Caenorhabditis elegans: one gene and its partners. The protein of the gene in region 2 interacts with the protein of the main gene of each other region in a pairwise test. Each region holds a gene or a part of one and is shown on either strand. Other genes may lie near its edges. The genes, in order: chk-1, nadk-1 and npr-21.

Evidence for each region.
Region 1: the proteins of nadk-1 (region 2) and chk-1 interact in a two-hybrid assay, tested with the Caenorhabditis elegans proteins (one large-scale study listed by BioGRID).
Region 3: the proteins of nadk-1 (region 2) and npr-21 interact in a two-hybrid assay, tested with the Caenorhabditis elegans proteins (one large-scale study listed by BioGRID).

Annotation. Positions count from the first base shown.
Region 1 is NC_003283.11:3,753,165-3,763,337, forward strand, and holds chk-1 (Serine/threonine-protein kinase chk-1), read right to left. Parts: upstream 6,306-10,173; 5' UTR 6,300-6,305; coding exon 5,816-6,299; intron 5,751-5,815; coding exon 5,537-5,750; intron 5,340-5,536; coding exon 5,106-5,339; intron 4,938-5,105; coding exon 4,775-4,937; intron 4,571-4,774; coding exon 4,154-4,570; 3' UTR 3,989-4,153; downstream 1-3,988. Other genes in the region: gid-7 (CTLH domain-containing protein), read right to left, coding at 193-515, 1,073-1,173, 1,227-1,357, 1,592-1,802, 2,177-2,307, 2,552-2,632; oac-55 (Nose resistant-to-fluoxetine protein N-terminal domain-containing protein), read left to right, coding at 7,975-8,121, 8,375-8,576, 9,409-9,544, 9,595-9,728, 9,779-9,872, 9,929-10,106. UniProt on the Caenorhabditis elegans protein: Serine/threonine-protein kinase which is required for checkpoint-mediated cell cycle arrest and activation of DNA repair in response to the presence of DNA damage or unreplicated DNA.
Region 2 is NC_003282.8:1,453,423-1,463,496, reverse strand, and holds nadk-1 (NAD(+) kinase), read right to left. Parts: upstream 6,423-10,074; 5' UTR 6,414-6,422; coding exon 6,318-6,413; intron 6,271-6,317; coding exon 6,182-6,270; intron 5,275-6,181; coding exon 4,556-5,274; intron 4,343-4,555; coding exon 4,134-4,342; 3' UTR 3,976-4,133; downstream 1-3,975. Other genes in the region: Y77E11A.12 (GRAM domain-containing protein), read left to right, coding at 687-850, 1,280-1,456; col-106 (Nematode cuticle collagen N-terminal domain-containing protein), read left to right, coding at 2,711-3,601.
Region 3 is NC_003284.9:17,152,771-17,163,722, reverse strand, and holds npr-21 (G-protein coupled receptors family 1 profile domain-containing protein), read left to right. Parts: upstream 1-5,754; 5' UTR 5,755-5,765; coding exon 5,766-5,853; intron 5,854-6,443; coding exon 6,444-6,523; intron 6,524-6,574; coding exon 6,575-6,727; intron 6,728-6,779; coding exon 6,780-6,885; intron 6,886-6,937; coding exon 6,938-7,014; intron 7,015-7,251; coding exon 7,252-7,328; intron 7,329-7,380; coding exon 7,381-7,546; intron 7,547-7,972; coding exon 7,973-8,069; intron 8,070-8,083; exon of another isoform or gene 8,084-8,129; coding exon 8,130-8,278; intron 8,279-8,332; coding exon 8,333-8,428; 3' UTR 8,429-8,635; downstream 8,636-10,952. Other genes in the region: mdt-1.2 (Mediator of RNA polymerase II transcription subunit 1.2), read right to left, coding at 9,250-9,391, 9,519-9,630, 9,677-9,854, 10,144-10,453, 10,501-10,689, 10,733-10,837, 10,902-10,952.

The DNA of each region.
Region 1 (10,173 bases), on a different chromosome or scaffold from region 2:
ATTTTGCCACTACCCTGATTCCCGTGTACGATACATTTTTATTCAATTTGAAAAGGATATGCGCCTTCAAAAGGGTACTGTATCTCGAAAATCCCGCAGCAACGGAAGTTTGAAACTACAGTACTCTTTTGCAATGAAAAAGGATGTTTGTTGTGTCGAGACCAGGTACCGTAGTTTTGACCCAAAACTTACATTATATCTCGCCATTTGGCCTCCACAAATCAGAAGATACTTATTCTGCTGACAAAACTCCATATAGGCAATATCTCCCTCGTTGATCGGCGCCATTTCGCCGATTCGAGTGAGCTTCGATTTTGCACACTTCCAGAGGGTGATCGAGTTGCTCTTTCCACCGCTCGCCATCATTTTTCCGTTTCGCGAGAATTTCACGCAGAAAATCTCGAATTTATGGTGATCCCATAGCTGAGTTTGTCGCCACGGGATCGTCTTTACACTATTCGAAGGCTCGTCGCGTAGAAGCTTCGGCGCTTTTTCGTCGGCAGCTGCGCCGTGGACTGGAATATTATATATTTTAAATGCAGGTTTTAGTTTTTTACTGTGTGTACATCAGGGGTGGGCGGCAAACAACGGCAAACCGACAAAACGGCAATTTGACAAAGATCAAAATTTCCGCCAAATCGGCAAATAGCCGGAAATCAAAATTTCCGGCAAATCGGAAAATCGGCAAATCGCCGAAAATCAAAATTTCCGGTAAATCGGCAAACCAGCAATTTACCGATTTGCCGAATTTACAAAATTTGCCGAACGGCAATTGCAGCCCACCCCTGATGTACAATTAAGAGATCACAAAATTCGGAGAATGCGTTTTGCACAACATATTTGACGCGCAAAATATCTCGTAGCGAAAACTACAGTAATTCTTACTGTAGCGCTTGTGTCAATTTACGGGCTCGATTCTCGAAACTGATTAAGGCCCGTAAATCGACACCAGTGCGCTACAGTAGTCATTTAAAGAATTACTGTAGTTTTCGCTACGAGATATTTTGCGCGTCAAATGTGTTGTGCAATACGCAGAGCTCTCAGAATTTTGTGTCCTCAAAAAATCAATTACCTTTATTCAAAATAGTCTTCAATCGATTTTGCGGCAAAATAAAGTCGGATGGAAGAATTTCCTCGAGAAACGCCAACTGGGACTGCCTCTCGGCAACTTGGCTGAAAATTTTCCAATTATTTAGAAAATCGAGTTTTAAAATAAAAATTCTCACTCAATATTCTGATATCGGCAATTTCCGAGCAGGACGTCTTTGAAAAAAGTGTCAAAATAATCAAAATGCTCGGAATGATCAAGTATGACGCCTCGTATCATTTTCTGCATTGTGAACAGAGCGTCAAAGTACTGAAATTGAAAATATTTTGGACACACGATGCACCATGTCACGTGGTGTCAAAGTCCCTCAATTCGGCTTGATCTACGTAGATCTACAAAAAATGCGGGAAAAGAGACGCAGAGTTTTCAACTGATTCCGCATGGTTAAGAACGTGCTGACGCCACATTTTTTGGGCAGAAAATTCCCGCATTTTTTGTAGATCAAACCGTACTCTGACACCATGTGCCAAGTCTAGCACGAACCCTTCCTTTCCGAACTAGGTCAGCTAGTTTGAAGCATTTAACAATATATGATCCATGCTTTGCGGTCTCCTCAGTAATGTGATCATTTGAAGTTTCGAGAATTTGAATCGCCGCGTCGTAGTTTCCTTTGAGAATGTTCGCACGGACTCTGGCACCCGACGTTGTTTCAATTGTGAAGCCCGTCTCTTCAACGAGAGTTTCAACAGAGCTTCTGAAAAAATGGGTCAAAAATACGGTAGCCGGTCTCGACACGACATTTTTTGTTTATTGAAAAAAGACATGCGCCTTAAAATTTCGTAATTTCAAAATTCCAAAATTCCACGTGGTGCGAGGCTGTCCCGTTACGGTTTGGTCTACAAAAAATGCGGGATTTTTTGCCCAAAAAAATGTGATGTCAGCACGGTATTAATCATGCGAAATCAGTTGAGAACTCTGCGTCAAGCCGAAATGAGACACTCTGACACCACGTGTGCTTTTTTTACAAAAAACTCTGAAAAATCGATAAAGAAACTTTAAAGGCGCACACCCGTTTTCATTCAACATAAAAAATGTCGTGCCGAGACCCGAAACTGGTCAAAAACTTACGTCAAGCCGATATTATCCAAAAATTGTGCAATAATTCGAATTGTTGCTTTATCATATTTTCCCAACGCGATTTCCTTTCGAATCACCGACTCGGTTTCTTCGGGATCATCTTGAGATCTGGGGGATAGTTGCTGGAAAAAGTGAATTTTTTTGTTGCATTTCAATCGCGGAACATGATGTCAAAAAGTATCATTTCGGCTTGATCTACGTAGATCTACAAAAAATGCGGGAGTTGAGACGCATATTTCTCAACTGATTTCGCATGGTTAAGAACGTGCTGACGTCACATTTTTTGGGGCAAAAAATTCCCGCATTTTTTGTAGATCAAACCATAACGGGACAACCTGACACCACGTGTCGCTGTGAGACCCTTACCGCATGATTCTGCAATCTTTGTGCTACAGACATCTTCTTACCCTTACGACCAACATCGTCAAGTTGCTCGTCGACAGTCATTCTGGAATTTTTTTTTGAAATTTTTGCCAATTTTCGCGCGCCAAGAATACGGTAGCTGGTCTCGACGCGACAATGTTTTGTTTATTGTCAAAAGGTATGCGCCTTTAAAGAGTACTGTAGTCTAAAACTTTAGGTGCCGCGGAATTTTCGATTTGCAAAAATTGATATGTTTGCAATCGTAAAAACTACAAAAAATCGATTGAAATTGAAGGTTTTGTTATCGTAATTTCGCTAGAAGTCGACATGTCCGCTTAAAGGCACCCAGATTTATTCAGATGGGTCTCGGCGCGAAAAGAGTTTTTTAAAAGTTTTTTTTTTTGCGTTTATCAATGAAATTTCTTGGTTTTTAGCGAGTTTTGTCGTTTTTTTTTTAAATTTTCGTAAAATGTTTAGACAAATTTCATAAGTGCTTTTCCTGCTTGTCGGCTTTAACAGAAAAATGAAAGAAAACGCAAAAACTCCAAAAAATTTTTTTTTCGCGCCGAGACCCATCTGAGTGAATCGATGCGCCTTTAAGAATGAATGACAAAATCTTGTGGCATTACAATAAATACAAATGAGTGTGCGCCTTTAAGGAGTACTGTAGCGCTTGTATCGATTTACGGGCCTGAATCAGTTTCGAGAATCGAGCCCGTAAATCGACACACGCGCTACAGTAGTCATATAAAGAATTACTGTAGTTTTCGCTACGAGATATTTTGCGCGTTAAATATGTTGCGCAGTACGCATTCTCAGCATTTTGTGTTCCCGTAATATCGATTTCTCTCAATTGTTCTCATCATTTGTTAAATTTTGGTGTTTAAAAAAAGAATTTAAATACGAAATTTTATCGGAAAACTAAGAAAAATCGATAAGAAAATTCCGTAACCACAGAAGTTTGAAATTACAGTACTCTTTAAAGGCGCACACACACTTTTGCATTAATTTTATAGAAATTTGTCGTGTTGAGACCTGGTACAGTATCGCAAAATCGTCATATTTAGCTTTTTTTAAATTGCAAACCTCTGTCGCTTGGCCGGGACAACGGCTGGCTCGTCAGCCTCTTCTCCGATGGGTTTCCGAACCACTTTGAGTTGTTAAGTGGGAACGACGCGCCACTGATATTTTGAAAACTACAAAAACGAATTCCAGATTTTCCAGTTGAGACCTAATGACAGTAGGGGGTAGAAAAATTCATAAGAATATATTCGTGCGTATTATTTAGTAAGAATTGTCTTGTCTGCTGCAGACACTCTCTCAGCTGACGACTATCGAACGGAGGCGAGGGGCAGCGAGATATTGTGCAAAAGTGAGAGAGGGAAAAGAGAAAGAGGAGGAATGATGAGGCAGTGGGGACAAACTCTAGACGCAGAGATAAAAACAAACATTCATTCACAGGCTTGTAATTCGGCGTTAATTCACGTTAAATTTAAAAATTAATGGGATAGGGAGATGTTTAAAGTGATGATGATGATGATAAATATTGTGCTTTAAATCTCAATAGTCTGATGGAACAAAAAACGAACAAACAAAAAAAAACAATTAGACATCCACATTGATCGAGGACGCCGAGTGCTCCACATTGACTCCACCACCATTAACTATCTGCGGATTTCTTGGCACATATCCAAGATTGGCGAGCCAGTTGTTTCCGTCGGTACATATCCACTCATGCATACGGTTTCTAACGTCCATGAACATCTTCTTAAACTGGATTCCGTCACCGCGAGACCTGCGGAAATCTACCATGACACGTGGCTTGTCGGGAATATCGCCCATCGTGTACAGACTGACCATCATCGAAACCTCGCGCCACGTGACTAGTAGACGGTAGTCGTCAGTCTCACGAACGCCGAAGCCGGCGTGCTCACTGGCTCGAGCCACTTTTTGGTACGTGGAACGGATGTCGGTGACGACGCAGAAACGTGTCATACGGCACACCATTCGTTGGAGGAGATTCTGAAAATTTTAGGGGGATTTAAACTAAATTCTGGGTTTTTTAATCAAAAAAAAAAGTAAATTTAGCAAAAACCTCTAATTTTGCAACCATTTCCGTGTCATTAGCGAATTTTCATCCTAAAATTATCAAAAATGCCAATTTACGACCGAAAAATTGGAGATTTTAGCTAAAAATCCGCCAATTTCTGACGGTTTTTTCCTAACCGAGTTGGTCTGCGACATATCAATATGCTGAGTAAGCAGAAGATCCTCAGTCTTTGTCGGCTGGGAGAACGAAGCATTCTGTCTCTCCGCCAGAGTGCTCTTCTCGTTCGGAGTCTCCAAGTGACGACGTTTCGCGGAGCATTCGGCTTGTTGAGTGCATGTGCTGGAATATATTGAGCATTTTAACATGAAATTGTGATTTTTTTTTAAATTTAAATGGGGTTCTGGCCTTCCTCATTGCATTTTTCGCAACTAAAATCGAGCCGCGACGCGACACGCAACGCGCCGTAAATCTACACCAGATATGGCCGAAGCCATCTATTAAACTCACATATTCTCATCATTGTTGCGAGCGCGTTTCAGTGGCCGCCCGTTCGGTGTCTCGACTTGACCGAAATTGTGCTGATACCACGGATCCGCTTGGATCTGCTCGATTGTCGCGCGCTTGTCCGTCTTGTCGGTGACGATCTTACGAAGCATGCAGAGGGCTCGAACGTCGATCTTCTTCCACGGTCTCTCGTCGAGGCTCGTGTTGCTGATCCATCCCATGTAGGATTGAGAGGCGCTGAAAAAAAACATTCATTTCGTCAAAAATTAGCTAAAATCTCTGATTTTTGGTGTCTCAACGGTCGGAAAATAGTTTTTATTGTTTTTTCTCGTTTATACACATTTTTCGTTGAGAAATTGCCATTTTTAGCCGAAAAATGTGAAATAAACCATCAAAATATGCTAATTTCCGCCAAAAACGCGATGAAAACGCACTCGCTAGCCCGATCCCACGGAAGCTCCCCGGTGAGCATCGCAATGAGCACAATCCCAGACGACCAGACATCGACGGGCGGCCCACGGTACTTCTTTCCGGCGCAGAGCTCTGGAGCAGCGTACGGAATCGTCCCACAGCTCAAATCCAGCAGTCGCTCCTCTCCTTTGTTCCGATAAAGAGTTGCCATGCCGAAATCCGAGATTTTTAAGACATCTGGAAGATTAAATTTGATAATTTAAGCATTTTAAAATTGACAAAAAAAAAAAAAAGATTCTTACGAGTTCCGGTAAGCAGCAAATTTTCCGGCTTAATATCACGATGAACCACATCATTATCGTGAATAAATTTGAGTCCACAGATGAGTTGTTTGAAGTAGAATTGCGCGAAAACCGGCGACATTCCACAATCGGGCTCTATTTTATCGAAAAGCTCTCCGCCGTCCGCATATTCCAGGAAGAGATAGTAAAATTGCGGATCATTTCGCATTCCTATCATTCGAATCACGTTGTCATGGCCGACAGCGGACACACGTTTCTGAAGAAGGTACTCCTTTCGAATGTTGTCTATGAAATCCTTGCTTTTATTGGCGATATTGATTTTTTTCATCGCCGCCGCCACTTCTGGATTCTTGGTGTTGACGATGAGGAGGACTTCGCCGAACGCGCCTTCTCCGAGCGTTTGAACGACTCTGTACAGCGATTCTGGTTGTTGAGGTGCCACTGCTGCTGCTGCTGGCGTAGAAGTCGTGGACGCTGCTGACATTTTCTGCTGAAAAATTGAAAATAAAAAGGATTATTCACCACTGAAACAGGAAAAGTTAAAAAAAATTAAAAGAAACCTTGATTTTTCTGGGTTTTTAGGGTAAAAATTGATAAAAATCGAGAAATATCGTTTTGTTTTACATTTTTTACTGAATAAAACCTGAAATATTTTAGAATTTTGCATCAAGAAAACAAGAAAACCGCAGAAAACGTTGCCGCATTCGAATTTACCGCGCGCAACGACACTCCGAAATCCCGCTCGGAGCCGGAATTTGTGTGGATTTACGGGCAATTTTTTGTCGAAAAAACATGTTTTATATGTTTTTATGTTTTTTAAATAGAATTTTACACTATTGAGATGAATTAAAGGCGAAAAATTATTGAAATGAGGGAAATATGAAAATATAAATAAAATAATATCGACAGAATCATCCGAATCCAAAAAATAGAAAGAACATCAATTTTCTTGTAAATTCCTTGAGCTTTCCGGTGTTTTTTTGGATTTTTCTCTTCAGAAATGACACCGAATTCTCCAGAATTCTCCAGAATTTTACAGTAAAGTTTTTTTTTCTAATTTTCTAGAATTTTTCCAGAACTTCCAGATTTGTCCAGAAGTCTCCAAAAGTTCTACAAAAATTTTTCTGCAGATGATTCCAGAAAGTTCGAAGATTCCAAGATTTTGTTTCTGCTGCAACAAATGGCGTCATCGACTACAAACTACAGAAAAGATACCATTATTTGCAGTTTTGTTGGGCCTACATTTAATGACATTCGGCAACTTTTTTTTGTCGACAAGGTCGACAAATCGGCAAGATGTCGGTTTGCCGATTTGCCGATTTGCCGGAAATTTTCATCATCGGCAAATTGCCGGTTTGCCGATTTGCCGGAAATTTTCAATTCTGGAAATTTGCCGGCTTGCTGATTTGCCGGAAATTTTCAATTCTGGAATATTGCCGGCTTGCCGATTTGCCGGAAATTTTCAATATCGGCAAATTGCCGGATTGCCGATTTGCCCAAACTTTTCATTTTCCGCGGATTGCCGGTTTGCCGGTGTGCCGGAAATTTTCAATTCCGGCCATTTGCCGACTTGCCCGAGATGCCAATTCCGGCAATTTGCCGATTTGCCAGAAACTTAAATTCCGGCAATTTTCCGATTTGCCGATTTGCCGTAAAAACCGTTTTTTCCGGCAAATTCGACATACCCGCAATTTGCCGGTTTATCGATTTGTCGGAAACTTTTAATCCCGACAATTTGCCGATTTGCCGGAAATTTCAATTCCGGCAATTTGCCTGTTTGCCGATTTGCCACAAATTTTCATTTTCTGCAAAATGCCGGTTTGCCTATTTGCCGTTAAAAACCGTTTATCCATCAAATTCGGCAACTCGGCAATTTGCCGGTTTGCAGATTTGCCGGAAATTTGCCGGCTTGCCGGAAATTTTGATTTTCGGCAATTTGCCAATTTGCCGGAAATTCCAATTCCGGCAATTTGCCGGTTTGCCGGTTTGCCGGATTGTCGGAAAAAATCGTTTGCCTTATCTATCGAAAAAACAAGATTTCTGATTTTCAGTGTTGATTCCCATGTTTTTGTGTTATTTTACCATTTCATTGTAACTTTTTAAAATGATAACCGTACGTAATAACACTGATAAGATGAGTTTAGAATATTCAATTCATAATGCACAAAATGTTACGTGCCATTTTTCTAGTCTTCATAATTTTCGCTAATCTACAATGCAGTTCTGGTATCGAATTCGATCCACATAAGGCTATGGAGCTGCTCGGCGAGCTGATCGCTCACCCGATAGAGGTTATGGAGCAGCTGGTGGGTTTCTGGATACTTTGGGTCTCGCAACGATTTGGCACTTTTGTCAAATCAAGAGTGTTCTACGTTTTCCACGTGGTGGTGTCAAAGTGTCCCATTTTGGTTTTATCTTTGAGAAATGCGGAAGAAGAGACACAGACTGTGTGCTGACGTCACACTTTCCTGTGGAAAAATTCCCGCATTTTTTTGGAGATCAAACCGTTATGGGACAGCCTGACACCTTTGGGTCTCGCAACGATCTGACATTTTCCAGGAAAAATACAAAACCAGCGATCTAATCGCTGCCCTCGGTATTCACTCAAATGCGAATTATTCAATTTCTCAAGAATGTCACGAAGAGCTTTCATTTTTGGGTTACGGTGTAATCGATGCGGCACGATATGCCCGGCATCACAGTACGGCGGCGGTCCCAGCATCAATGACCGATCAGGAACGGAAGGATTACCTTATTCCCAGTGAGATATTTTTTTTCAAATGTGGGTCCTGACACGATCCAAATTTTTTACTCTGAATGACAGAAAATAGACCGTAATCACCAAATGTAACAAACGTAAAAAATTTTCGAAGTATTTTCTAAATTTTTTCTGATTTTTTTTCCACTTTTGCCAAATTAAAAGAAATTAGATGTTAGGCTCCGCCCACTCATGTAGCGTCTCAAATTGGAGTACATGGTCTCAAAGTGTCTTATTTTGGCTTGATCTACGTAGATCTACAAAAAATGCGGCAGAGTTATCAACTGATTTCGCATGGTTAAGAACGTGATGACGTCACATTATTTTGGGCAAAAAGTTCTCGCATTTTTTGTAGATCAAATCGTAATGGGACAACATGACGCCACGTAACTGGAGCACAAATAAAATTTGAAAAAAAAACAGTTAAACTTGCCAGAAAACACGTATATATCCAAAAAGTGGGCGGAGCCTAACATCTCATTTAATTTATTTTGGCAAAATTGAAAAATCATTTTAAAAATTTAGAAAAAAGTTTTAAAAGATTAAAAAAATTACAACAGTAACTTTTTTATTAGTTTTCTCAAAAAATAGTATTTTGTTTTGGGCCAAACATTTTTTCCTTAAAAAGCGCCCGAAAATGCTCGGTGTTCAGTAGAGCGCATTTGCACATATATTCTTCGCCAAACCGGCAAATCGGCGAATTGCCGGAATTTAAAATTTCCCGCAATTTCTAAGAAAATGAGAAAACTAGTTGAACATTGTTTAAAAGAGATGTATTATAGCTAAACATTTAAGTTTCAAACGAAATTTTGACTTAAAATTTTCAAATTTCCAGTGATGGACGCTGCCGGTAAACTGGGATCCGGCATCGTTAGAGGCCATATTCTAAGCACCGGCGCTTTTTCGGAATGCAAATCCATTCAGATGTTCTCCTCGAGTTTAAATCGAACTGTCCAGGGAGATTATTACAGGTACCTACATATTTCCTGTTTTTGCAACTTGTGCGGCAAAATCCAACTAGTTCCAGAATCTTATTCGATATGAAAATGCGCCCCAACTCGTTCAATAGCTCGTGTAACCTCCCGCAAATTGGAGTAGATCTCTGCTTACCCTGGTCTTGTCGAAATGAGGATCTTACGGGGTATTTTAGAGAAGGTTCGTAAAAATGGCACAGGCTGTAAAAAAGTAATAGCAAAAGTTTACAGCCCTGGGGCCCAGTAAAGCCTTGTCTCCAGTGTGCAGTGTACGGAATGTTAATCAGAGAGTTCCAGTAATTTCGTTGGGAACATGGATAGTTTTGTAAGTTCAGGAAAAAAATTTATCCAGTTTTAACTTTCATAGAAATTAACTTCCAGACTCATTTTATCATTGATTGTGGGTCTCTGCATTTTATCAGGATTTTCCGATATTTTTCAAAAATTCCAATTGAACGACAAAACGAGGAAGGAGGAGGGTTTTGGTTGGAAGTTATTCAGCGCATTCTCATTTCATCGAAATTTGAAGGAGATTTTCAACACGAAGAATTGTCATAAGGTAGGGTCAGATTTTATGGTGCTACGACAGTGCTGGTCCCATTGATCTACGAGAATTACGGGAATTC
Region 2 (10,074 bases):
TGAATCCTTTCTTAGTACAAGTTGAACAAGTCTGTTCGAGTCTTTTTTATTTGAAATTTCACTTTCACGATTTTTTTAAATTTCACAAGTATGGTACGATTTCAATATTCATAAGGATGAAAAAAAAATTTTGGTATTTTTTGGTATGAAAATTTTTTTCCCAAAAAATTGTAATACTTCTGGATTGTGTAGGAAATGTATATTATAGTATTTTCCACAGTTTTTATGGCTCAATCACACTTCTGGGCAAAAAAATACAACAGTCAATTTCGCTTTTTCATAGAAAGTGAGTACTTCCAAAGTGTTCTAGCTCCACAGGCAGCTGAAATATGAAAAACTTTTCAATTAAAAAGTTATTATTGTAAAAATATGTTTTCCTAATTGTAATTATGTACTTTCTTGCCAAATGTGATGCTTTCGAAAACTAAGTCCGTTTTCCGCCAGTTTTTCATCGAATAGCGGCTCGGGCCTTCGCCAAAGCCATGTACCGTTTTCGCGAAATAGCGGCCCGTCACCCGATGAATATTCGCATGACGCGGTTTACCTGTGCGTGTCCTCGGTAGTGGTGAGTATCCGCGTCTGTGGTGAGTATCCGCGTCTGTCACATGCGAGACCCGGGTTCAATTCCCGGCCGGGGAGAAACTTTTTCGAAAAACTTACAGTAAAATTTTAATTTATTTTTTCAGTCCGCAGTTGTGTGATGAACGAGAAGGAGCGCGTTTTCCCGATGGGAATCACTCCCGGCATACTGTACCTGACAGATGCTGCTCTGGTGTTTCGACCTCGAAATCATACAGACGACAAAGAGCAGCTTATGATGCTTTTTCACGATCTCAAGTTGGTTAAGAAGGTGAGTAAAGGCTTTAAGAAGACAAGTAGGCACTTATACAATTAGTATATACGTAGGCAAACAGGTGGGCATGTAGTCCTGAAATAGGCAGGTAGACAAGAAGTAGGCACATAGGAAGTTATTCATGTAGGCAGGTTTGTAGGCAGGTAGGCCTGAAACATGCACATAGTCATGTTTGCCTAAATAAGGCGCAGGCGCCGACAGCCGAGGATTATTTCTCAGTCGGCTGTCGGCTGGTGCTACCAGCCGAAAAATCCCAAACTTTCGGCTGTCGGCTGGCTGCGCCAGCCGACAGCCGCACAGCCCTGATAGGCAGGAAGGAGGCTGGCCAGAAAGGCTCGTAGGCATGTAAATGAGCAGACAAGTAGGCTCGTAGGCATGTAGGTAGGCAGGCATGAATTCACGAGGGAAAACCTAACCATTTTCCAGACCCAATCGCTCCGTTCAATGTCACTGATCACGGGAACACGAAAAAGCCTTGAAATTCACGTGGAAGGCCGTCGCAAGCCGGTCCAATTCATAGGACTCGCCAAACGCGACGATTTCGTCACTCGGATACAGCTCATGTGCAGAAATGCGTCGGCTGCTGTGGAATTTGCTGAATAACCTTATTTTTATTTTGTTGTACATGTGATTCTAGTCCTCCAACGTCGTCCATAACTTGTAAACTGCGCTCCGATGTTCCAAATGATTGTGAAAATGCTTATTTTGATTATGTACGGGTTTGAAAATGAAGAATTTCTCTGTTTTTTCGACATTTTTTGATAGAATCCTTAATATCCATTTTTATAACCAGGTAAGTGTCGGCTGCTAAACTTCTTCAGATGTTTTTTTTCCACCCGGAAAGTGTCGGTTACTCAGCCTCTGGTAATTTGCTGGTTCTGTCTACGCGCACGTCAAATGCCAGCTGCTTAATGACTGGGGATGTCTCTTCCACTAGAACAGATGTCGGCTGCTCTGTGATATCCCGCTAGGTGTCGGCCGCTATAATCTCTGAAAAAATAAACTCAACCCGCCAAGTGTCGGCTGTTACCTGTTGCTGTAAACGTTTATTTGAATATCTACCCGGCAAAAGTCGACCTGCGTGATCTCAGGAGAGGCCAACCGTTTGCTATAGACCCTTTAAGTGTCGGCCGCTACTAGCACCAGAGATGCCGTTCTATCAAAACCCGCAAGGTGTCAGCTGCTTAGTCCTTAAAGATGTTAAACAATCCCGGCAGTTGTCTGCTGCAAACCCTTTAGAGATATCGAAGCATAAAGTGCCAGGCACCTCCATGAATTAAGCGGCCACAATTATTCCGGACACATAAAACGGCCGACATATCCCTGGATCCATCACGCGCTGTATAATGACCCGAAAGGTGTCGGATGCTTCGGGGATTCCAAACCCTAGTGCATCCCCATCTGGAGCTCACTTCAGTGCACCATGACCACCAGAAAACGAGGAAGTCGATGCACCATGAGTAGATTGCCTTGGATTTTAGAGATCCATGAAGTTTCCAGAACTAAGTAAACTAATTTTAAATTTCTGCGTGTTATACAAATGCCCAATGAAAAATTGAAAAATTCTTCTATTCGCTAACAATGAAATTTGTTCCAATCAATCCAACTTCCCCTTCTCTTTCTGTTCTCTTATCACGGTTACAGCAAGACATTTTTTGCGTATAGGTTCCCCATGGAAACCGTCTTGAAACCGGTTCTTATCATGGATTCGCAGTAAAGAGGCGGAACTTCTGGGGGTTAGTATATAATGGCACCTGATAAGAATGGAATTGGCAAAACTTTCCGACTTTTACTTTTCCTCGCAAACAATTAACTTTGATTCAGTACAATTTTTGATTCCTTACCATTTCATTTCAGATGGGCGCCTTCGGGACATTAGCATGTGCTTCCGCTACGGTCCTCACAATCGGATCCTTGGCAACGATGTGCCTTATCGTTTCCGACATCAATGGGCTTTACAACGACGTGATGGAAGAGTCCCGAACAACTCGTGAGGTTGCTGATGACGCCTGGGAGGAGCTGCTCCGCAAGAACGGAGCCCCTGAAGCTTCCCGTGCCGCTGTGACCGCCATGCTATTCGGAAGAAATAAGAGAAACGCTCAGTGTAACTGTGGAGCCAAGAGCAAGGGATGCCCAGCAGGACCACCTGGACCACGTGGACCAAATGGTGCTCCAGGACTTGACGGACCAGATGGGCTTGATGGACCTGATGGACATCCTGGATATGCTGCGGCAATCAAGGAGAATTTTGGAGGAGCTTGCATCTCTTGCCCAGCAGGACCAGCTGGACCACCAGGGCCAGATGGTTGTGCAGGAGAGCCGGGAACCGATGGCGCCCCAGGAGAAGACGGACAGAATGGAGCACCAGGATCCCCAGGAGGACCAGGAGAGACCGGACCACAAGGACATCAAGGAAAGCCTGGAAGAGCCGGACCACGAGGACCACCGGGAGCCAAGGGACAAACCTACCTTCCAGGATCAGCAGGACATCCAGGAAACAGTGGACGTCGTGGACCACCTGGACCACCGGGAGCCAATGGAAAGAACGGAAAGCAGGGAGCCGATGGAATTCCAGGCGCCGGAGGAGCACCAGGACAACACGGAGTTCCTGGAGTCGATGGATCCGATGGAGCACCGGGAGAGGATGCCGCGCCAGGTGGAGACGCTGCCTACTGTCCATGCCCAACGAGATCGGTGGCTGTCGAGGCAGCGCCATCGCAGGCAGAGCAGATCTACAAGACTCATTAGAGAGCTTTTTAATAAAGAATGTCGCATTTCAAATGGTTTTTGTGGTTTTTTTAGTTTCTGGGGTTGCGAAATGACTTCAGCTTGTATGGTTTCAGATTTTTCATATCAGATTATCAGCACTGAACGAGGTCTCAGCACAGGGAGTCTCGCCACAATGGGTCTTACCACGAAGGGTCTCACTGCAATGGGTCTCACCACGGAGGGTCTGGCCTCGATGGGTCCCGCTACGATAGGTCTCGCCACGATAGATCGCACTGCGGGGATCTCACCACGGGGGGTCTCACCACGACAAAGGATCTCGCAACGATGGATCTCTGAAATTTTGAGAAAATGTGCATTTGAAGCACATTTTTGAGACCATTTTATACAGTTATGAAAAAGTAATGAATTTATTTTTTTTTAATTTCAAATTTCAAATTGATGTATCACATAAAATCGTATAAAATCTATGTACAATTACGAATTCATAATTCACAAAAAAAACGACAACCCGAAAACCCGTACAATAAAAACAATACACACAAAATCATTGTTACACAATCACAGTTTTCAAAGCATCATTCGGATTGACCTCGATCGTGGCGACGGCGCCACGTGGGAACGGGATCTTTGTGGATCCGTCAAGGACCAGGTATCCGTTGGTGCATCGGGATTCGAGTTTGATCTTTCTGGCGAATCCGCGGGTCGCCGTGCGTTTGTAGGTGGCGTTGAAGATCGGCTCACGGATTGAGAAGGCGAAACCTGGAAAGTTAAAAGTGAAAGTGAGATAATGAGAAATTCTCAAATTTGAGTTTTCTGAAGCCTGACGATGAGGCCAGCCATGGGGTCCTTTTCTCAGTCCTTTTCCATGTCTGTGCAGGGTCTTATATTTGGAATTGTGTAATCAAAAATACCCCTGACATTTTGTTTCCAACTCAACAAACCCAAATTCCAATCAACTTTCAAAAAACTCACTAGGATGATCTGGCTCGAACGGGATCTTCTCATTCACCGAATTCACCACCTTCTCCACCAAATTCCTTGTGATCGGCACATCCACGCCAAGTGATTGCAGTGCCTCCAACACTGACGTCGTCGCATTCTCATCGATCCTGTTCATTCCGAGGTACCAACTCGTCGATCCGGTCCCAGTCGACACAATCAACCCGGAGGACTTTTGCTTGACTGTCTGCGAATCGTCGATGGAAATATTGTAGGTTGAGACTTTGGCGGCTTCATCCTCTCCGATGAACACCTCGTTCAGGGCGAGGTTTGTTGATTTTTCAGACCTCTTCAATGAGAAAATCGAGTTCCGGGATTCCTTTACTGTTACCCGTATCCTCGTCCTCTGCACCCACTTCAAGTTTCCAGAGACCAGACGCTCGATCAAATCGCGAGGTGGATTCTTGCCACCGACACACAGGTGTCCTTCACTTCCGATCGGGTCAGTGTTGATACCGATGATTGGGGTGTTGTCGTTGACCACGGAAGCTGCAGCCAAGAAGGTTCCATCACCACCGGCAGAGATCACCAGATCAGCTTCAGGCAGGTACTGGGCTAGCTGCTCGCGAGTCACAACTTTTGTGGAGATGCCTGCTTTGCCAAGTTCGGAGACAATTTCCTGCACTGCGTTTACTTGTTTCTTCTCGTTTTCGAGGAGCTCTTGAACCTTGGTGCCTTTTGAGGAGAGGTGCCTGAAAAGATTTAGTAGCTGGGAATATAGCCTGATAGACATTTTTACATTCAAATGAGGTCAGTAGACTTTTGTCAATTGCAGACACCATGGGAAAAATACACAGTTTCGGTTTTTAGCCTAAATATAATTTTCCAAATTTCTGTATGATAGGATATAGGTGAAGCAAAACATGGTGCATCGACCGGACACCTTATACATATTTTATATAGTGTTAATGTTATTAAAATTAAATTCAGGAAACAACCTATTGAATATGAACTTTAAGACATGGTGCATCGACCGAAAATTATCTTCTTTGGTAGCTCATATCTCTGTCTGTTTTAGCGTTATCAAAAAGTTGCTCACAGGCGAAATATGAAATATATGTTTTTCTACTATTTTGTAATAACAATTGTTTGAGTACCTAAAAGATGAACAAAGCTACAAGCTTTAGAAGTGGCTTGAGACATGGTGCATCGACCGGAACCAGCTTTGATAGCTTATATCTCATTTGGCTTTGGGTTTATCGAAAAGTTGCTTTCTGACAAAATATTTAAATATTTGATTTTCTACAGTTTTGTAGTTAAAAATTTTTTACTTTTTACTACCTATAAAATGAACAAAGATATGGACTCTGAATGTGGAGGAAGACATGGACATACATTATTGCAGTTTCAATTTTTTAGTATCTAAAAGATGAACAAAGTTACAAGCTTTAGAAATGGCGTGAGACATGGTGCAATGACTAGAACCAGCTTCCACAGTTTTTATCTCGTTGTATTTGGTTTTAAAAGAAAACTGTCAACTAATAAAATTATTTTTAGCTATGTGCCTATAGTATCTTAAAAATGAACAAAGATATGAGCTTTCAAAGTGGAGATGCAAAACGTGATGCATCGACGAGCAGCTTTGGTTGTAAAACTCACTTTTTCAGATCAGCATCGCTCAAGCCCGTCTGCTCCTTCTCCCATTGCCATCGTGTGCTCTTTCGAAGGATCAACGCAAACCGGATCGCCTAAAAATTTGCTCCAAAACAAGGCTTAAAATCGAAATTTGGCTCACCGGCTGCTGTCTGCTTCCGCTCGGTTTTCCTTGTGTTACCGGAGAAACTGGGCGCGCCACGTGGCTCACGCAGTGAGAAATTGCCAAAGCGGCCATGATGGACGGCTGGAATTATAAATTATTAGAAATTGGAAATGGATATTTAATGGAATCAAAAAAGAGAGAGAGAAAAGGTTAAAATATGATAGAAAAGCTTATCAGTTAGTTTTTTTTTCAGCCGCCTCATCACACACGAAAAGTCATTCGAGAATTCGCCAAAAAATCAACACAAATGGCACCATTATTTTCAAATTTCCAAAATTTCAAAATTTCAAAAATTTTTCCCGATTTATAAATAAACGGGGCTCCGCCTTCCGAACGTCTGGGCGCCGCCCACCGTTCCGGTAGGCTACAACAATAGAAATTGTGTGGGAGGTGGTGGTTTGTTCCCCTCGTGCTCAGATGTGCTCGCAATGTTTGATTTTTGAGGAGAAATTGAAAGTTGAGAATTGAGAATTGACACAAAGTAAATAAATGGTGTTGAAATGATACTTGACGCCATGATGGAATTTTTTGGAAAAAATGGTGTTTTGATCGGCTGGAGTATAAGGAGTATAAGTTTAAGCTGTGATATCTCTACGAGTAGAGGAGTTATCAAAAATATGCCAACTAATAAAATATAGAACTTTAAAAGTTGCGTATTTTCGTAGTTGGCAACTTTTTAATGGAGTTCACCTCCGCGGAGTTACAGACGCCTGGAGGTTCAGTGGTGAAGGGTGAGCAGTAGTGTCGAAGACTAGAAATCGTTGTAATTTGTTGGAAAGTGGATTTATCAAAAAACTGTTAAACTAGCAATTTATTTATCACATAAAACTGTACATTTTTGTAATTTGCAACTTTTTCATAACAGTAACCTCCGTTTAGTTACAGGCGCCTAAAGTTTGGTGGTGAAGCGGCAAGGGAGCCGATGAAGAGAGCTACTGAAATTTCTGCCCTTGTATCTCCTCGGAGAATAAATTTATCCTAAAATTGTTAACTAACAAATTATTTACCACATAAAACTGAACATTTTTGTAATTGTGAACTTTTTCATAAAACTACCCTCCGCTGAGTTACAGGAGCATAAAGGTTTAGTGGTGAGAAGTAGGGTGCCAATGGCTGAAGCTAGCACCCTCCGTATCTTGTCGAATAGTTGATTTGTCGCAAAATTGTTCATTAAAAGATTATTTACCACATAAAACTGAACATTTTTGTAATTTTCATCTTTTTCATAGCATTAACCTCCGCTGAGTTATAGCCGCCTTAAAAAAACACTACATGCTCAAGTTAACAACTGTTGAATAACTTTTACTTCGAAGGAGTTAAAAGGAGTTAAAAGTAAAAATACGTTATGAGAATTTGATTTTAAAAGGCTGCGGGATTCAGCTTGTGCTAAAACCTCTATACCTCGTCGAAAAGTAAATTTATCACAAAATTGTTAAATTACAAAATATTCATCTCATAAAACTATAAATGCAACCGAACGCATTTTTTGATACCACTCACTTCCACTGAGTAACGGGCGCCAAACCGTTCAATAAACAGTGCAAATGCTTTCTAACAGTCTGCGCCTCCACTGATTCCATTATATTTTTTTCTTCGGCAATTAAAAAAAAAGAAAAATGACCGTTTTCTATGCTGGGAGAACCAAAGAGAATTCGTTGAAAATCAATTTTCAAAACAAAAACAGCGGCGATGATTTCGAAACATACGATGTGACCAATGACCAAAAACTATAGAGCACGGGAGACCACAAAATTTTGTGTCCGACTAGAGAAATGGGTGAGAATGGGGGAAATTCGGAGTTTTTTATTAAGAAAATAGTAAAAATTCGAGTTTTAAATCTAGTAACTCATGAAGAAGTCTTATCAAAAAGGCTGCACAAATTACGCGATTGCTCTCCGCTCTTCTTGAGAACCAAAGAACCAAAGAACGCGTGAATGATTCAAAAGGGGGTATTTAAAGGCACATGCACACCGCCGAGACACAAAGAGACACAGTGTGAGTGTGCGCGTAGCCATGATGACAAATGGCTAGATTGCGACCTGACCCTTCTAAATTTTGTGCCCTGGGCTTCAGCAGGGCTTTATGGAAGTGATCATTGTGATATTGTAATACATTGTGACCACACAAAACTGAACAGCTTTGAGGGCTTATATCTTTGCTACTTTAAAATACAACAAGAAAAGTTTAACTGCAATGTTACAGAAAAAGATTTGAAAAATATTTTAGTAGTTGACAAAATTATGATAACCCCCTAGACAACTGAGATATCGATGCACCATGCTTTGCAAATCAACCACAGGAGCCTATATCTCTGCTATTTTCGAAGATATTGAAAAACTTCTAACTAGAAAAATGCTTGATATTTGGTTAGTTGACAAAATTTTGATCAGACCACAGGCAAGCGAAATTAATGCTAAGCGAGGTTTTTCTGGTCGATGCACCATGACTTGCAGCAAAGTTAATTTTGAAAATATTTAAAATTCAACTATTTACATATAGAAGTTTTTGAAATTCTTTCAAGCCATCTAAAAATACATTTAACTCCACGTCGTTTTGCCATGTGACCCTTCTTCCGGTGGTCACCTTGCTCAAAACAATAATATTTGCTCATTTATCTATTTATTGTCCACAATAATCCCACCGGTTCCAACACAGTACATATATTTATTTAAATGATGTGTCCTTTTGCCAAACCCCCGGTCTCACCTGATGTTGTCATCATCGTTATCACTGTACACATTTTTATGACCGCGTCTTGTTTAGAACGACCAAAATACACGTGAATGACACGTGGCTGACTACAAACTACAAAACAAGCACTAATTGACTACTGTCACTTTTTTGGGCACATCTTGTCTGATGTTTAGAGAGAAATACAAAATAGTTAAAAAGTTGTTATTTTGTGGTCTATAAGATCTAACATACAATTTTTCGAGTTGAATGAATATGGAATTTGAGTTCGAATTTGTCAAATTCGGTTAATACAATTAATTTCAACCAAATAATTTAAATTTTTGGGATGGAACTACAAAATAAATTGAATAAATTGTAAAACATGGTGCATCCACCGAAAAGGCTCTTGATAGGTCTTCTGTGTAGGCGTTAAAACGCCTACCTGTCTGGCCTTAAGGCGGATCTCCGCCTGACTCTCGCCTCAATACGCGCCTTATGCTAAAACATACCTAAATTTTTTTTTCCTTTCACAATTTGATTTTCAAAACAATAATGATAGAAATCAGAAAGTTTGCTATTTGAAAACTCACTCCAAGAGGCAGAAAAGAGGCAAAGCATTTTTCAGGCAGGCGTCAGGTCCTGAGACCGCGCCTGCGTACCATGGAAGCTTTAGCTCTGGGAATTAAGAATTAAAGGAAAATACTAAATTATCAACAAAAAAAAACGATTTCGAAAAGGTGAATTGCATCAAGAAGAACTGCGGAATAGATTTGCGCGCGGCGTGCTTGTCAACGAAAATCGCATCAAATCAATGATGACGAAGTGCGTATAGTCCCCCTGGAAAATCTTATCAAATCAATCACACACGCATCACATAGCGACTAGTTTTTTTGGTCGATTTGAAAAATATTTGAAAGTATAGGGTGGAGATTTTTGGTTCAAACTAAGTTCGTGTTGGCACAGTGACCTCCAAGACAGTTTTTGAAATTGGGTGATAGATTTTTGTCTAAGAAAATAATTATCTAGTATTTTTCTAAATTAGAAAATTTTCAAATATCTT
Region 3 (10,952 bases), on a different chromosome or scaffold from region 2:
TTAGGCTCTGACTAGATAAATGACTAGGTGAAAACTTGATTAAAATTCAATTTCCCTGTTGTCTCTGAAAAATCTTTTTTTTTCAGTCTTTTTACAATTTTCTGACCAAATTTCCCTAGCCATTTTTTTTGAGAAGCTCATTTTTTAAACGCCAGTTTTAATATTCAATTATTTTTCAATTAACTGTGTAATTGTTAACATTTTAGAATGTTCTTTCACCCCATAAAATTTTATGGCTTACCACTCCAATTATTTGTACAGAATTTTTGTACAGATTTTTTCAGTTTGTACAGATTTTTCCATTCCAAAAAACTACTAAGAAACTACTCTTTTACTACTCTTTTTCAACGACTCCAATTATTTATGACCATGTGTTGCTCTTTTTCAAAACGCTGTCCGGCTTGGTGGAGCACAGATTTTCGTAAAAAATTAGAGCAAAGAGAGAGAAAGAGAGAGTGAAAATGAAAGAGAGAGTGAAAATTCCAAAGTAAAAAAGGGCATGCCTATTAAACAAAGTACAGTAATTTTGCTCGAAGCAGTCTTTTCTCATTAATGTTTTGCCCAGAACTCTACTTTGAAAAACACGTGCCGTGTTTTTGGCTCACAAAATCAAAGGTACATGGAACGACTGAAAATTGTCTGAAAAAAAAAAGAGTCTGAAAACAAATTTTTTTAATAAGATTTTTGTGTTCTTCGCATTTTCACTCTCTCTTTCTCTCTCTTTGCTCTACTTTTTTACGAAAATCTGTGCTCCACCAAGCAGGACAGCGTTATGAAAAAGAGCAACACATGGTCATAAATAATTGGAGTCGTTGAACAAAAGCGCGCGGGGACTAGGTAGTTGGAGAAGGTGAGCAGAACCTTCTCTCCGGTAATTACACCGGATGATCAAAGGTTCGGTCTTTGAACTTTTCACAGGGGACCCTATTGTGCCCCCTATTGACAAATGTTGGTCTTCATTTTCATTGCGCTTCTGGAATCTGTGCTCTTTGTCATACATATCTCGTAGTTTTGTTGGTTTTGGTTTTTGACACAATTTTCATTTTTCTTTAACAAGTTGTCTTCTTTCTTCTTTTTTTTGGCGGCGCCGAAAAATCCAAATTAATAATTTATCAAGTTTCAAGCTTACGTGTCTCTGATATCTAGAACTGATCGGAATCAAGAATTTTTGAACAGTGTTGACTGGAATTATTCATTGTATTCCTTGATTCATAATGTTGAAAGGGAAATGATGCTTTGTTTTTTGGCTGGTACAAGCTAGAATTAAAAAAAATCCAACTTTCAAATAATAAATTCTAAATGCTTGCCAGCACAATTAGTTTGCGATGTACCCGCCAAAATGGTCGCAGCACTCCGTTTGATTTACAATCTTCCCGACACAAATTTGTGGCGGAGTAAAACTATTCTCATAAATTTAGAAATCGTCATAGAAAACTACCTAAAAAATAGCGGTTTAACTTTTTGCTAATCACGCGTATGCCCAGCATGATTTTGTTTTTCATGTTCAATTACATTTTTCCATAGGCTAGTTTTATGTTTGGTTTTCAAATTTGAAAATTCACAGTTTTTAAGTGTATTGTCTGTTGGCAATTTGGAGTCTAGAAAATGTTTAGTTTGGTCAGTATATGCGTGGAAGGCTGTAATAATCTATCAAACTGCATTTTTAAGCCGCATTTTCAAACTCTAAGAACACTTTCACGCCCGACAAAACGGAAATTATTTTGTGAAACCCCTTTAAAATAATGTAATTCAAATATTGAGCTGAAAAACGACGTGAAGTATAGTTTTTACTTGTAGAGCTTTTGGTGAAAGAAAGTTCGCAAGTTATTTTTGTTAATGTGACGTTCCAGAAAATTAATTCGGATACCTATACTTGAAAAGTTACCACATTTTTAAATACACTTCATTTTTACAAACTTCATTTCTATTGTTTTCAACTGATCCGGAAAGGGCTGATCGGATATTAAGTAAAAACTAGACCCTTTCCAATTTTATATGTATTTTTGGAGCTGCTCTCCAATTTTAGAATTTTTTTACTATTGTATGCTGTTGTTATGAGCTTCATCATGTTCATACTAAGAACACATTAGTTTTCAAAATATTTTTATTACTATTCATGCTCATTTTACTATTGATATTGTTGCGCTACCGTACCTTAGTCCCCTACTGTTTTCGCTGTGCAAAAAAATGTAAGCATTCCGGAATTTGAAAAGACCAAAAAATTCACAAAAATTTGAACATTCTTCCAAATTCTATCATGTTCCTGCTCGGTATATTGAAAGTATATTAATTAGAGTTCAACTTTATGCTCGCCTTTCCCCAGACCCCATCTGTTTCGATGTGCAAAAAACCAAATATTTACCAGATTGAAAAGCCCAAAGAATACACGGAAAAAGTTGCATTTATACACTCGGGGTGTTCAAAAAGTATGAATTGACCGCAGGTCATTCTCATCTCGCATTTGACTTTTCTATTGTCTGTTTTCAGTACGGTCCATTTGACCGTCTCTTCTCTTTCCTTTCTTCCATTTATACATTCAAACTGTCTCTATTTGCTCGTGGTGCGGACACTTTTCTCTACTCAGTTTCGCCCCTTCTTCCGAAACACGAGAACCTCAATTGCACACGTTTTCGGTTTAATTGGCAAACGGGGCCCCATAAAGTTAACACACTTCCTCGCTTCCCTCTTCCACTCATCTATTTTTGCTACGTGTGTGACATTTTGAATAAAACTACACTTCTGGGATAGGGATGAATGGGAGCAGGAAAAAAACGGACAAAGTATAAAGAACAATTATTTTTTTTCGAAATGCTGACCCTGTTGAACCTTAAATTTTTAATTGAGCTCTAGACTTTTTCGATCTAATGAGTTCACACTATTTTCAAAAAAAAACATAAAACTTTTGATAACTATTACAAATTTTGCCCAGCAATTTTGAATTGATATCAAACATGTCACTTTTCTAATGTTCTATAAAACAATTTTTCGAATAAGGATATTAAACGAATTTATGAGTTGCCAAACATAAACTAAAACGAAAATAAAGCAAATAAAGCAAAAAACCATTAGTTATTCAAAATTTTCATTTTAATTCACCAATCCTGCAAAAACATCATCTTTGTTCCATTAAAGTATTTGTACCAACATTTCAAATATCCTACTCATCATTTGCCTTGGTTCAAATTACCAAAACTTTCACGCACTTTTGAACTGTTCTGTTTGTTTTTTTTTTTTCAATTCTGATACATTGTAGTTGCTTTTAGAAAATTAAAATTTGAGTTACAAATGAGATTGTAATATGTCAGCCGCTTCAATACGTACTGACAATGTTTTGTTAGACAAAACTGGGCTGCTTAATTCACCTTAGTCCTCTATTTGTAAAAAAGTTTAACATCAAAAGTCTGATAGTAAGTTAAACGTTGTTTTCTGTAAGTCCGGACCCATCAAATGTCAGCCACACGTTTTTGGTTGAACATCAATTTTTTAGATTTACGAATTTATGGCAATGCAGTTCAAGTTAGCAAAAGCACCATCTTACTATGTCTAATAACATTAACCGTATACTTCTTGCAAGTTTGTCATGTACTTCCTCTTTCCATACGTCTGTCAATCGTCGGCGACAGAGTCCCTCCTCTTCTAGACACCCCCGGATGAGGCTAGATATATAAACATAAAGACTTTTAATAGTTCCTTTCTACCACTTGTGCCATGACGTATCTGGTCCGGATATTAACACTGGTTTCTGCTCACTGTTTCGTATTTTGCCATGTCTATCAGACGTCTACCGGGAAGTTTCATTGGTCATCTCACTCTCTCATTTGATTATTCATATTTGTTGTTGCTATTAGCCGTGAGTTTGTTCTCCGTCTTTTCCAAGAAGTGGCAATTATTGCACTCGCTCAAAGTTTCGTGCTCCCTACTTTTGCAAACCACAATTTGTTTTCAGAAATATGTCTGAGTTGTAGATGTAATAGAATTCATACTGAATTGAGCATCGGAAAAGCAAAATATATTACTCGGTATTCTTAGACAACCGGGAAGAAGAAGCCAGGTTTTGTAGGCAGACGCTCGGCAAAAACAGGAGGTGCTAATTCATTCACGTCTCCATTTTTTTTCGAAAGTTCTCATATTTTGGAGTGTGATTTTTTGAGAATTTATCATAAATCAAAAGGATAATGGCTGTTCATAGCATCTAGCCTGATTCAAAAATTTCGAAATAAATTTTTTAATCATTTGCGAAAAAAACATTTTTCCGACATTAAACATTTAGTTTAAAATTTCAAATTCACATTTAATGATTTACAAATTTCCAAGAAAACAATTCCCGTGAAAATGAACATTTTTGCGCGCGTTCTCACACGTATTAAGTGTCTAATGGTTAGTAATGACTGGCAAAATTGGGATAGAAATTCACGTCATTATTTATGCGATTTGAGCTGGAAGAAAACAATTTTTCTTTGTAGATTTTGAAATTTTTTGAATTTGTGATATTATTTTTTTTTCTTGTAATTTTCTCCCATTTGGTTTGACTTGCAAATATGTAAATTTGGAAAATGCCCTCATTAAAATTTTTTTCTTAAATTCTTAGATTTTCTTTGAGCTCAAGGATAGTATCTTTTAGTTTAAAATGTTCGCTCTGGTACTCTGAATTTTCCAAAAATGCGAACGTGTCTGAGTCCAACAACTCCCAGGTTTCGCGTTGCTCTCAACATCGCCGCGCGGAACACGGTAGTTGTCGGACCGTGTTGCATCATTACTTAGAAATTTTCTGAGCAATTGACTCCGAAAATGGATGTGTTCAAATTTGTGAAAATTGAGCATTCAACACTTTTGTTGGGTTGAGTTTGAAAATTTGAACTTGAACAGACAATTCCCTGTGATCCTTTGTAGCTAAATCTATGTTCTCAGATAACCAACAGTTGGGGGGTAAACCTGCGTGGGTGTGGTTTTATGCTAAATGCGCAGCCGACACCGATGGAAGTCCGCGATTTACAACTTGAGTACCTGTTATATTCGAAAAATAACTTTTCGATGAAGTGTGAAAGTTACTATTAATTTTACGGTGACTAACCTTTTCAAAATCCCGCTGGCATTCAACTTCAAGTTTTATCTTTAAAGCTTATTCACTTTTGACTTTTTGTACACTTCCGATCTTTGAGTTCCACCTTTCGACATCCGCCTACTTTATGTGCATATCGTCAACTCTGAACGACATCGTAACTTCTTCCTCCTATTCCCTGAAACATTTCCACCTGCTCTTCTATTCATAGAATGATGTGGTGGGTGTCAACCTAGGATACTTTGAGCTTTTTTAAAAATTCACTTGATCTATGTGTCTTCCCGACTTCCTTTTCTCTCCGAATTCTTTTCCGAATTCCCCCGAATTTCTTTACTTGGAAAGTAAAAGAGGAAATTAGACGGCAAAAAGAAGATGTGTTTCGTGAACTTTTCACAACACTTCAAGCGTTCTTCTTTGAACTGCCCGTCTCGTCTTGCAACTTTTTTCATTTCATTCTCGTTTTTTTCATCTCATTCACATCTTTAATCATTCATTGAAATCTTAGGGCCGAAAATCCAGTATCGTTTTCATTCTTCTTTTTCGTTGCTCTAGCTCCTCCCCTGCGTCACAACATTTTTCAATTATTCTCAAAGTGTTATTTCTGTTTGTGTGGTTGGAATTCGAACTTTACACTTAAAACTTTTCACCTGCTCTACGTTTTTAGAAACTGTTACAATGTTTTTTCACCAGAATATTTTCAGAACGAATGGAAAGCGACTCCCCACTTAATCATCCTGTGGTACACTTTTTGCTCTGTGTATCCTACCTTTTTGTCTTTCTGGCCACTATAATCGGTATGCCAAGGATCTTTGTTCATATTTTTAATATCTGAAAATATTTTGCAATGATTATATTAAATATTGCAGATATTAATGGTTTTTTTTCGAAGTTTTTCGATGTTCACTTTCAAAATTCATTCTAAACCTAAAGCATGCTCCGGCATACCCAGAGATCATTTTCTGCTTCACACCTTTTCTTCACAATCGAATTGTTTTTTTTTCTAATTTCTTCTAACTCAGACTCGTGAATGCGACAAAATTTCATTTGATTTTCTCATTAGGACGGTTTTCGTAGCTAGGCAAACACACAACCAAGCAAACAATGACATTCATTTTTGATTTGTTATCCAATATCAGATGACAATATATCAGAAGACAGAATCAACAGTAGGCTATAATTAGATTACATTGAAGTGAGCAATAATTGGTGAAACTAAACTGATAATCGACATTTAGGTTCAAATTATATGGTAGAAGTACGTAGTTAATAGTAAGTGGTAGAGGACAAACTATTAGAACTTGAACAATTTATTTTAAAAAAGGAAATTAAGCTATGGGCAAATTTGAACAAAATTACCATCAAGCTATAACATAAATTCTTTCAGGAAATCTTATCATTCTGCTGGTCTTCTTCTCGCAGAAACGAGTCCGAAGTGTGCCCAACTTCTTTCTGGCAAATCTGACGGTAACTCTCCTCCAAAACTCACCTCCTATTCTGAAAATAATCTATTTCTAGGTTGCCGACCTTTTTGTCGGAATCTTCTGCGTTCTCCAGAACGCTGTGAATTTTGTATTCCAAGGACATGGACGGTGGCCGTTTGGCAAAGTGTTATGTTATTCATACATCTACGTACTACACTTCATACCAAATGTGTCGGCTGGAATTCTGGTAGGCAATCATGACGTAGGGAATCTTTGAAAAGCAACATTTTGATATTCAGGTGCTGGTCTCGGTTGAAAGATTGATTGCGGTGCTCCGTCCATTGCGGGTGCGAAGAGCATTTTCACAAAAAGTGCTCATCACATCGTCAGCTGTTGTTTGGCTAAGTAAGCTGACTTAAAAAGAAATGTGGAAATGAAATGTTTTCTTAAATTTCAGCTAGCGCAGTTATGAACACCCCATATGTAGTGGCTAGCCAGTTTTTAGAGATATCAGACGGGAATGAGACATACACAGTAAGTAACTTCACCTACCTGCCTGCATACAGGTTAACCACAGCCGAGTATGAAAAAATTCAGGCTAAAAACTATTATTTAAAAAAAATTCTAAAACCGCTTGGATACAATATGGCTAAATATGCAAACTTTGCCATTGTTTTTTTTCTAAAAGAATTTTCTAAAGATCTTTTGTTAGTTGAAGTATTACCAAATTAGTTCAAGAAGTTCCTTTTCTCGAAATAAAGATTTTTCCAGATCTGCACTAGACGTCATGTGGAAATTTATGGATTCAACCTCCTGAAGCTAGTCGCCACTATCAACTTCATCGTCTGGTGCGTTCGTCAACTCTATATATATTTTGTTTTGACTTTTAAAATTTTTCAGGTACGCCGTCCCTCTAGTAATCCTTCTTTGCATCTACGCTACCATCGGCCTCGTGGTGAGCAAGGCCGCAACAATCACGAAACACTCCGCCAACAAGCTTTTGCCAAGATCAAGCTGGCGATCCGAAGCCTCAACCGGCGGTGTGTCAGTGGAGAAGAGGAGAAAGGTTTGTTTAAAGATTCAGAACATGTGTTCACAGTTTGTTTGTGCCAAGTCGAACCACTTTTTCTCAAACGTTTAGTTCTGAGAGATGACACTTAGCCATATGGTAAAACCAAAAGTTATTGAAATTTGTTGAATTATTCAAAAGTTTGGTATAGGGCAGCATTTGATATTTAGCTTGAAACTTGCTTTTTAAAAAAGTACATGTATAAATCAAAAGACTAGGCACATGTGTTTAAAACCAGTTCAAAAATTGGAACATTTATTAACGGGACAGAAAAAAAAAGGGTCATTCACTGTGAGGAAAGCCTCCAGATTTTCAGAAGTAATATCAAACTACAAACTACAAAATCGACAAAATTTATAAACATACATTTTTCAACAAAAAAGTATTTTGTTGATATATTTCTGACATTCAATTTCACTTCAGGTTGGTCGTTTGGCAGTCGGAATCGTCGTGGCATTCGCGTTCTTCTCACTCCCGAGATATGTATATTTTATGTGGACCGTCTGGCGAGATCCGATGGGTAAGCACGTCGTCCACCTGAACCTCCAAGTTCCAAGATCATAAACATCAAACTTTTCAGCGCCAAGATGTTTGAACTGCCTTCAAAGTGTACTCCAACCCATCAGTTTCCTGCTTCTGTTCTTTAATGCCGCCGTCGACCCATTCCTCTACGCATTCCTTTCAACAAGATTTCGTCAAAGCATCAAAGAAACATTTCATCTTGGAAAGGTAAAGAATGTTCTCCAGCCAAGACATTTTCATTCTATTCGATTCAGCTTTCAGGTGCGTGAAAGCAACATCGAGCAGTCATCACGAGTGCGGCGTAAGGTGTTAAACTCGGAGTTGGAGACGGGTTACGAATATCATAATCACTCATAACAAATGTACATACATGCTTTAAAATTCTAATCCCACTTATTCACACATTCTCACACATATTGCGTTCTGTTTTTGTGATCTCACCCATGATTTTCAAAACTTTATAATGCTATCACCGTTTCTTTCCACAACAGTCTCCTGTCAAATTTGTAACATATACGTAATTATGGATATAGTTTCTGTCAATAATGAATTTGTCAAAAAATCAATTTTTTGGGTTTTCATGCTTAAACAGAGTTTGTAAATTATATTAATCCCAAATTACAAAATTATGCAATCGGATTTCTCAAAAATGTTTTAAAACTTTTTAAGAAAGGTCAAAATTTCAATGATCATTAAATGAACATTGATTTCCGGCCATGTGCCACATACAAACATAAATATTGAAGATTTTAGCTGAATTGAACAGTTTTTTTTTGAAATTTTGAACTGCAATGTAAAATATTTTAAAAACTTTGAAAAGTCTCATTATGAAATTTAGTTGTTTGGGTAAACTTTCGAGGTCTTTGGGCAACTAGAGCTACTTTTATATATTTTCAGCAAGCTTACAATTGACATAATTAAAGAAAATATTGCCCAGTTTGACTATTAAAGATATTTTTGACCCTAAGTAATCAACTTTCAGTATTCATGCAAAAAACCTCTAATCATTTTTTTCTGCTTTTCAGCTCTTTGAAAAATTCAGATGGCAAATTTTAAATAATACAAATGCATATAAAACTTAATTTCAAACATTCACAACAATCAAAATGAGTATCAAATAAGGCTCAAGTATATAATAAAACAAAAACTATACAAACACATCATAAGTCAAAAATCCGTTAGAAGGAACGTCCAGCCGCATAAGTTGGAATTGGGCCCACAGTCTCCGGGTTTTCACTTCTCAACGGAACTTTGATCTTTGCCAAGTTGCAGTCACTACCCGACACGGCGTAGGTAAGCATATTTGGAATGCTCCAAGTTCTGAAATTTTCAAATGTTTTCTCTAGGATGTTCTATGGACAAAGAGTTGGCACCAAAACTGCTATTGACATTCTCAGGAACTTTGCAACAAGTCCTGCGTTTGCGTTAGTGTACGGTTTCAACTTACTCATTGAGTTTTCTGCTCAATGTTTCATCAATCTTTTCAGCAATCTGGAGGCCTGTCTGTGCATGCACAACATTCACCTTTGCCTCACAAACTCCACTATCCTGGATTACAACTGCAAATTTACTTAATATTAAACACTTTATCTATCTAGAACTCACCTTTGACCGGCGCAAATTTTGTATCAAAGGTGATTACAATTTGCTCTCTTGTCAGAAAAACGTCCATCTTGATTGCGGCAACCGTGTGCTTTTTCATACCCTGCTTCTCATAACACGCGGATATCATCGACTCCCAAAGGCTGATATGCATGGCTTCGTTGCGAAGAATTGCAATTATCTGCAATTATAATTTATTTTTATCGAGTAGTGGAATATCTGACTACATATGTTAATGATGTCTTAAATAATATTTCTACTTCTAGTATTTGAACGGACTCACAAAGTTCAATAATTCCCTGTGGCAAAAAACCGAAAGTTGCAAAATGTGTGTCCATATTATGTAAAGCATGCATTAGCATGTATGCTTATTTTCTCAAAACAAAAAAGATACTCAAATGTTTATGTTTTTGCTAATTGAATCATGAAACTGGCGCTTTTAAAATACAATCTATGTTACTACTGCTTACCTCATGAAAATCTTGCAAATGCTTCAAATAAATCTCAGTGATCACAGAGTCACCATCATTGCGCAACTGGTTCACATCGACATTGTAGAAGTGTTGAGTTTGTCCATCGCCAAACTGTGTAATCATCTGCAGGTTGTTCTCAATCTTCACCGCTCCAGTCACGTAGCGATAGCTATTTGTGAAATGCTTAACGGATGGAGTCTTTGCACTGATTGCTCCCAACTTCTTTCTAGTCGTTTCAGTAAGATTGAACCCTCTGGATAGCTTCATACAAATCACAGCGTTTGCTTCAATAGATTCTGCCCAGCCTCTGGAAATTTACAATTTTCAATAATATTAAGATGTGAATGAACTCACTTTGTGTCAAACTCTGGAAGTGTACACGGGCTATCATGCTTGGCAAACGAAAATTCAAAGTATGGCAAAACTTCGTGATCATCCTTTTGTAACTGGAAAATATGATCCTTGGAGCGAATGTTCCGAAAGTGTGGTTCCGCCAAATAATATACACGCCCTGCGCGGAGATCATTACGTGGAAGGTAGAAACTAAAATTAAAATTTTTCATTAAAAAAATAATTATAAAGTTACCCATAGTTGGATCTGTGAATTGAAGTGTAGGAAGGGTCTTGAGAGAAGTGTCCAAAAAGCATCTCGAGCATTCTCATAGCTCCCATGCAGTTTCTACGATCGTCTCTGAAAAATGGGAGTGAGTTCTAGAAGCATTATTTTTTGCTTTGCTCAAAGTCAAACAACATACCTGCTCAACAACTTATCATACGTCAACAGCATATCTGAGATTCGGTTTCGA